Lytechinus pictus: one gene and its partner. The protein of the gene in region 1 purifies or fractionates together with the protein of each later gene. This does not show direct contact. Links are inferred from orthologs where the notes say so. Each region holds a gene or a part of one and is shown in the gene's direction. Other genes may lie near its edges.

Region 1 (3,758 bases):
GAAAATCTGCCCACGCTGCGTAATACAATAGGCTTGACCCTTGACTCGCTTCATTATGACTTAGCTACAGCAGAAGAGCTACATGTATGGTATGAGGCACCGTTTTGTAGCGCATTTTGTAGAAAAATTATTATTCAACAAGTAATAATTATTAAAATGAAATCTATATTTTAGTTGTAAATAATTACTATTATATCAATAGTAATTATTTACAACTAAATTACTTGTATCTAGGAAAACAAACTAATTCAACTTTAAAATCTGCACAAACGGATACAGAACACGTAAGTTGCATTTTAAATGCACGCATACAAGCCTACATGGGACCCATTTAGGGGTCACATCCAGCTAGATCCTTTTTAGGGGGGTCGGCACCTCTTTTTCGGGCAGATTTCAATAAAAATGGTATCAAAATGCTCTGATAGGAGATGACACTGCATCAAATAACCGGATGCCCAAAGGAATTTGAAACATTTACCTTGTTTAACCCCTGTAAATCCTACCTCTACTATAATATAAAAAAATCATGATGTGTATGATTTATGTGAGGGATTATACTCTATCATGATATACATTAGAGCATGTATACTTACCCATGTTGTCTTTTTGCACAAATGTAGACCATACTAAATGCTGGTTAGTTCTTTTGTCTGTTTAATCCCTTTAGATTTTTTTTTTTAACTGCAAAGTCATTTTTGTCTACATTTACCACATACCAAATCGTTATTGTAATACATAACTATTACCAATGGGTAATTCTACAAGTACTGGTAAGTCAAAATGGTAATTGTAAAATATCAATAAAATGTTATATGAAATTACATAAGTTTACCGATGATACCAACACTCTTTGACAATTTGCTGGTGTTATCTTTTATTTTGATTGGACTGCCTTTTCTGTTAGTGAATGTCATATAACTCTCTAGAATAAATTAATCTTTTCATTTTGTTCCCCTCTATACATTAGGAAATACCACATTGTTGTGTTTGCTGGTAGTCACCTATTGTCATAATGGCAGAAACAGAAGTCAAAACTGAAGTCGAAATGGAAGTCAAAACCGAAGTCAAAACTGAAGGTGATGCACAGCCCACTGCATTGGAGAAAAAGATTGCAAGACAAATTGAGGTAGGAAAATAAATTTATTAACAAATGTCCCTAAATTTGTTTATCAAAAGCCAGACCTTAAATTTCAATATTTCTAGGCTAAGACCAAGACACATTTCTATATAATATCATAACACAAATGGGCAAAATTAAAAGGGCACAAAAATGGCATCAAGGCCATTTTAGGCATCATCAAAATTGTTTACCACATTCATGTACTTCATACTTACCCTTTTTATTTTTGTTTTATTATTGTTATTGTCATTTATACAGTACTACTTTGGAGACTCCAACCTAAAAAGAGATACATTCCTGCAGCTAAAGATCAGAGAAGACAATGGATGTATCCTTTTACAAAAAAAAACACTGACTGATGATGTATATGTGCTTTATTAAAATACTTTGTAATTTAAGTTTTGATGAGTGTAGTGACTAAATAGTAGTTTGTAAAAAAAAATATGCTGGTGTTGGAAGGTTGACTTATTGTGGTAAAGAAGAAGAGAAGGAGGGAGGAGGAGAAAAAGAAGAAGAAGGAGGAGGAAGAGGGAGTGAATCTATTTGAAGTGCAATTATTAACTTTTAGAGTTACAATGTATGTAGTGGGGGCTTCTTGTTTTTTTCTTGATGGCAATTACATTCTTTAAATGACATCCAGAACCTCTCTTTATATCCTGGAACTGCCCCTGATCTCAAATGATCAGGATGATGATTGTGATGATGATGATGATGATGATGACGACGATGATGATGATGATGATGATGATTGTGATGTCTGTGGTGGTGATGAGGCATATATGATATAACATAATGATAACAACAATTAGGATATCATCTGTTAACTTGGGCATTTTTATGTCCTTCTTACTAATGATATACATACGCATATAATCCTTGACTTAAAAACTAAAGGGGTCCCACTTGAAACCATGATCAAGTTTAACAGACTGAAAATCTTGACATCAGACTTCGATGTCATTGTCCAAGCTCTTGAAAACTCTCCAACAGGTCTAATGGAGGTGAGTGCAACATTCTAAATTACTCAAAAATATAGATTAAAAAAAAACAGTTTTCCAGGAACCTAATAATGTTATCATTGTGCCAAAATTACATTTTATATAGTTGAAAATTCAAGTAAAAGCATGCTTACATATTATGCACCTATTTGTACAGTTACATATTCTCATTTGGTAGGAAATATATGAAATTATGTGCTAAAAACAAAAAAATTAAATCTTCAGTATTAATCTGTCTGTATATCAATTTTTGTTGTCGCTTTTCCGACAACAGCGGCAGAGGCACATGAAATTTTAACCAAAGGTTAAGTTTGTGAAATGACATAACTTAAAAATTATATAGACCTAGTACATGAAACTTGGACATAAGGTTAATCAAGTAATACTATACATCCTACCTGAGTTTCAGGTCACATGACCAATGTCAAATGTCATTTAGGGTAAATTAACTTAATAAACTATGTTGGGGGAATCAACATCAAAATCTTAACCTAAGGTCTAAGGTTTTGTAATGTCTTCATAACTTAGAAAGTATATGAACCTAGTGAATGAAACTTGGGACACAAGGGTAATAAAGTATTACTGAATTTCAGGTCACATGACCAAGGTCAAAGGTCATTTAGGGTTAATGAACTTTGGCCAAGTTGGGGGTATTTGTTGATTTGCCATCATAACTGAAAGTTTATGGATCTAGTTCATTAAACTTGGACATGTATCACTGAACATCCCGTACAGACATAGGGGTAATCAAGTTTCACTGGCAAGTCTTAGGTCACATGACCAAGGTCAAATGTCATTTAGGGTCAATGAACATAGTATTATATCATTATATGAATGGTGTCTTTTGTGAATAATTATTCTATAATAGTTTTCAAAGTCAGCACTGTTGCTATATTGAATGCATAATACAGGTGTGACTGCTAGAGGCCCTCCACTTGTTTTTTCAAATTAGATGATTTGAACCTGTGTGCGAAGCCATATCATATCTTTAGATTGCAATCCACATTAGTTTTACATCCAGTATGGTGAAAGATGATTTGTTGAAAGCAAACTTGTTATCAGATTCATTGATTTATTGAAAGAGAGTCCATACTGGTGACCAGTGAAATAAATAACAAATTTAGTTTGCTTTGGTTTGTGAAATTGTCTTGACTTTTTTTCACATAGATAAGTGAAGACAAATTGAAGATCAGAAGAGCAGTGAACAAGCCACTACCTGAAGAAACCGCTGCATACTGGCAGTCTATGAGAGCAAGGAGTGTCTATTGCGTATGTCAATTCACATTCTAACAAGATTATCAGTGTAGTTATTCTATTTTATATTCTCCAAAGGATATCAGATCTTTTCATGATTGAAGTGCTATAAAAATATTATTAACACACAATCTTCAGCATCTTTTCCCATATCTGCAGTAATCCTGTATCTAAACCTTGTGATCCTTCCTTCAGTTCTACCTAAGATTATTATGAGATGCCTGTATGATCTCATTAAAGGGATGGTCTGGGCTGAAAATATTTATATTTAAATAAATAGAGTAAAATTCACAGAGCAATATGCTGAAAATTTCATGAAAATAGGATTACAAATGTGTGTATTTGAGTTTTGTCAGACGTGTATCAATCAGATATGATTATTTACG
Region 2 (3,758 bases), on another chromosome or scaffold:
ATTATTTCTCATGCTACAATTAGTTAGGCCCTACATATTAATGGTTCCTCTTTTTTTCTCTGTTTTCCTTCTTTTTCTACTTCTCCTCTAAAATCCTTCACAGCTCCCTGTCTCTCTTTGTAATTAAGCGCATCAATATTCGCGTATTTGCACGATGCCAGCAACTGTATTGGGGATACGCCCTACCTGTCACGGGGCCTCCCTATTGGCTAGAAGGGCTCCCACTGGGAACTAACACTGATTTTGATTGGTTTGCTTCCGAAAAGATGGGCGTGAACTTTGAGAGATATGACATGGAAAATACAATGTTCAGAATACCGATTTGTGACAATCATAGCGGTGTCACATCTCGGAGACAAATGACAAGATTTATGACAAAAGTTATGACAGTGTTCCAGAATACCACCCCTGGATCTACATGTACACCTGGGGGCATTTCATTAGTCAGTGTTTTTAAGCAAGAAATATTCTTTCAGCCAATCAGATGCAAGGATTTCAGTAGCTTTTGACCATTTTTATCATGAAATGCCCCCTGTACTTCAGGCTTTGTTTGTGTAGAGCAGATCAAAGGAATGGAAGCTACTTTGACTTCAACATGTAGGTTTGGAACTTGTGATACAAATAAGTGCAAAAAAAGATTTGTGTGGTATTACTGTGAGATGCTTGCACAGGATGTTGCATTAATAGAGGTGATGATTCACACAGTAATATGCTGATGACATCTTATTGTTCCTTCAAAGTAAGTCTTTCTTAAGTTAACCCTATGGGCCCTATGTCAGAGGTACATGTAGTAACCAGGGCTATTAAAGGTCTATGGAAAATACATACTGAAATCAAATAATGTTAAGCAGGTTATGTTATTTTTCCATACATACTGAATTACTGATTATAGTCATATACCTGGCTGTGAAAAAAAAGTTATAGTTAAAAAGTTTTTCACCCATGGTTGGTCTGGTGATTAACATTTTTTGGTGATTAACATTTTTTTAGGAATAAAATTAGTATAATATTTCCAGTCCATCTGAAGATGAATAAATTCCCTTTGTATTTTCCAAATTTAAACAAACTGAAAGAAACATGTTTGCTGCAAAGAGTGCAGTTTAACTCTGTTTTCTCCCTGTCTTTCCCTACCTAATTCGCAGACCACAAGGATAAACGTTCCTCAGTTTGCTTTGAGTTTGCCTGACCTTTGAACTCAACCAAAGATGGCTTCTGAAGATCAGACGAACAACATAGGGGTCAACTCGGACCTGGTCACCCTCAGACGGTACCTCTCTATGGGACAAACAAACGGAACATACTACGTTGTAAACAAAGAACCTAAGGGAAATCCCCTTCCAGAGTGCACGCAGAAGATCCTAGAGGAAGGTCGAGGAGGAGATATTGTCAAAGAACTTCTAAAGTTTTCCAAGGCTGGACACGTAGTACATGAGGACTCCTACATGAAAGTATTGGTTTGCATTGCAAGGAGCAAGGACTCGACGGCAAAGAAGGCCTTGTATAACGAACTAGGTCAGCTCTGCCCGACTGCGTCTGGACTCTTTCGCTTTGTTGACGGGGTGGAGAAGGGTGGTGAGGGCACAGGCTGGGGACGCATGCAGAGGAAGGCAATATGTAATTGGTATTGTGGCAAAGATGGCCAGGAGTTGGCGCGGCTGGTTACAGGGTGCAAGCAGCGTTGTGGATGGTCACATCGGGATCTCATACGACTAGCTCACGTCAAACCTCCAGCAGAAGGTAAGTAAATACAATTTATATTTATTTTTCAACATGGTCAGTGGTCACTTGTTTAAAATTTTGTAAGACTCCCATAATATCCTTACTTTTGATCACTACTTTGTTCAACTTTATACATGTTTACAAATCTTGAGTCATCGAATACTCCAGTACATGTAGTTTCAATTTGTATTACATGTATGTGTACATGTATATTTACAGTGTATAGTATTACATGATACATGTACACTTAAATTCCAGATACAAAAATCAGAACTTGCCACATAGCAGTCAATAATCTCTGCCAGATTCCAAGCGTAAAGTCTCTTTGCCCTTATTTAGGGGCCCTGTAACAAGCTAAATAGTGATTGATATTAGAGCTAATTGCTATGATTGATTGTGAATAATCAATTTTAAAAATGTGTCCTATGATCAATCAATAAGCTTTGTTTGAATGACTAGGGACTAGGGTCCATGTGCCCAATGGGTGAGCACATCATTAGTATTTCAAAGAAGCTTTAGTATTATGCAGTGCTTAGGAAATTTTGTCATTGTTTCGCTTGTAAACATGTAATAATACTGCATGTACTGTTTCCAAAACTATTAATTATTTGCATATATTGTATTTTCCTATTACATTATATTAGAATTCATTTTTTAAAATAATTTATTTGATTGTCTTAAAGGTGTATCTCCTTGAATGAGATGAATGTGATCCTGTACACATTGACAGGCAGAAATGTAATTTCCTCATTGCTCACACCTTTATCCTCTCCCCTCAACTCAGCATGCCTCACATACCAGCATGTCTTACTGTAGGGTGTGTTTAGACTCATATTTAAGGGCTTAGAATAGGCATTTTAAAAAGGTTTGGCTCGAAATATCTAGGTCTTGTTGGAGTCTCTCTTTGCATGTGAAGTACTCTCATACAAAAATGCATTTCGAAACCTGTTTACTTCCTAGTCAAATATGTATGCAACATCATCAATAATGAAGTTTGATGTTAATTTTCTTTACAGTATATTATAACATTGTAAGTTTCATGTATAAACTAAAGGCCCATTTGTTCAGACTTATGATAAGGCCTAATTGGTAACTAACATGGAAACCTAGATTTTGCAGGGTTTTTTTTTACCGTACATGTACTCAAGGATGGAAAAGTGTTTTTTTTTTTCAATAATGGAAAAAGTAACTGTGATATCAACTTTTCAAACTGTGCGTTGGGAAATAAGCCCTCGTTCTAAAAGATCTTTTCTACCCAAAAATATGGGCATGGGTCATGATGTGAACTTCTTTTCAAATTATGTTTCCAAGGTGGTTGATATGAATTCATATGCTTGTTATGCCTGCAAAATTATGCATACATTGTGAATGCACCCTCAGTGATGAAGGCAGAGCATTTTCTTTTTGGAGTGTAACTATTTCACCCAGACTCTTCAAATAGAAAATAACCTGTGAAATAATTTCTTAGGTGAGATGTTTTTTTCTAAGGTTAGGGGGGGGGTGATAGGATACAAAGATAATTATGAATGCACACTTACTGATGAAGGCATAAAATATTAAATCTGGTGCGTCACTTTTTCAATTTGACTTCCTTTCAAAATTTTTCCTGTGTGCAATGATTTTTTTTAGACAGAACTTTTTTATTTGTCTAGTAGAGGTGTATGAAAGGGGAGGCGGAGGGATGATATGTAGGATGCAAACATAAAGCATTCATGATAAGAAGGCACCCTTAGTATAATGAAGGCAGATAATCTTACATCTCTGATGCTATTTCAAATCTTAAAATGTGTTCAATGATTTTTTTAATTGACAGGACTTTTTTTTATTTGTCTGGTAGGGGTGTATGGACCGGGGCGCAGGGAGGGGGGGGGGGATGCAAACATAAAGCATAATGTGAACGCACCCTTTTAAGTGATGAAGGCAGATAATCTTAAATCTGACTGTGGAGTGTTACGTTTTTACTCAGACTCTCTTCCAAATGACAAATACAATAATCTCTTAAAATTGCTCAGACTTTTTTGTCTGGTGGGGGTGGCTGG

Evidence for each region. The genes of interacting proteins can lie anywhere in the genome.
Region 2: the proteins of lupus La protein homolog (region 1) and RNA-binding protein RO60-like purify together in Homo sapiens (affinity purification with mass spectrometry; 3 studies listed by BioGRID and IntAct, with this or other methods). This does not show direct contact. The link is inferred for Lytechinus pictus from reciprocal best matches to the Homo sapiens genes SSB and RO60.

What each region holds. Positions count from the first base shown.
Region 1 is NC_087245.1:18,646,070-18,649,827, forward strand, and holds the start of lupus La protein homolog, read left to right. Parts: upstream 1-959; 5' UTR 960-1,012; coding exon 1,013-1,126; intron 1,127-1,378; coding exon 1,379-1,448; intron 1,449-2,014; coding exon 2,015-2,121; intron 2,122-3,285; coding exon 3,286-3,387; intron 3,388-3,758. UniProt on the Homo sapiens protein: Binds to the 3' poly(U) terminus of nascent RNA polymerase III transcripts, protecting them from exonuclease digestion and facilitating their folding and maturation.
Region 2 is NC_087259.1:23,601,585-23,605,342, reverse strand, and holds the start of RNA-binding protein RO60-like, read left to right. Parts: upstream 1-1,143; 5' UTR 1,144-1,205; coding exon 1,206-1,737; intron 1,738-3,758. UniProt on the Homo sapiens protein: RNA-binding protein that binds to misfolded non-coding RNAs, pre-5S rRNA, and several small cytoplasmic RNA molecules known as Y RNAs.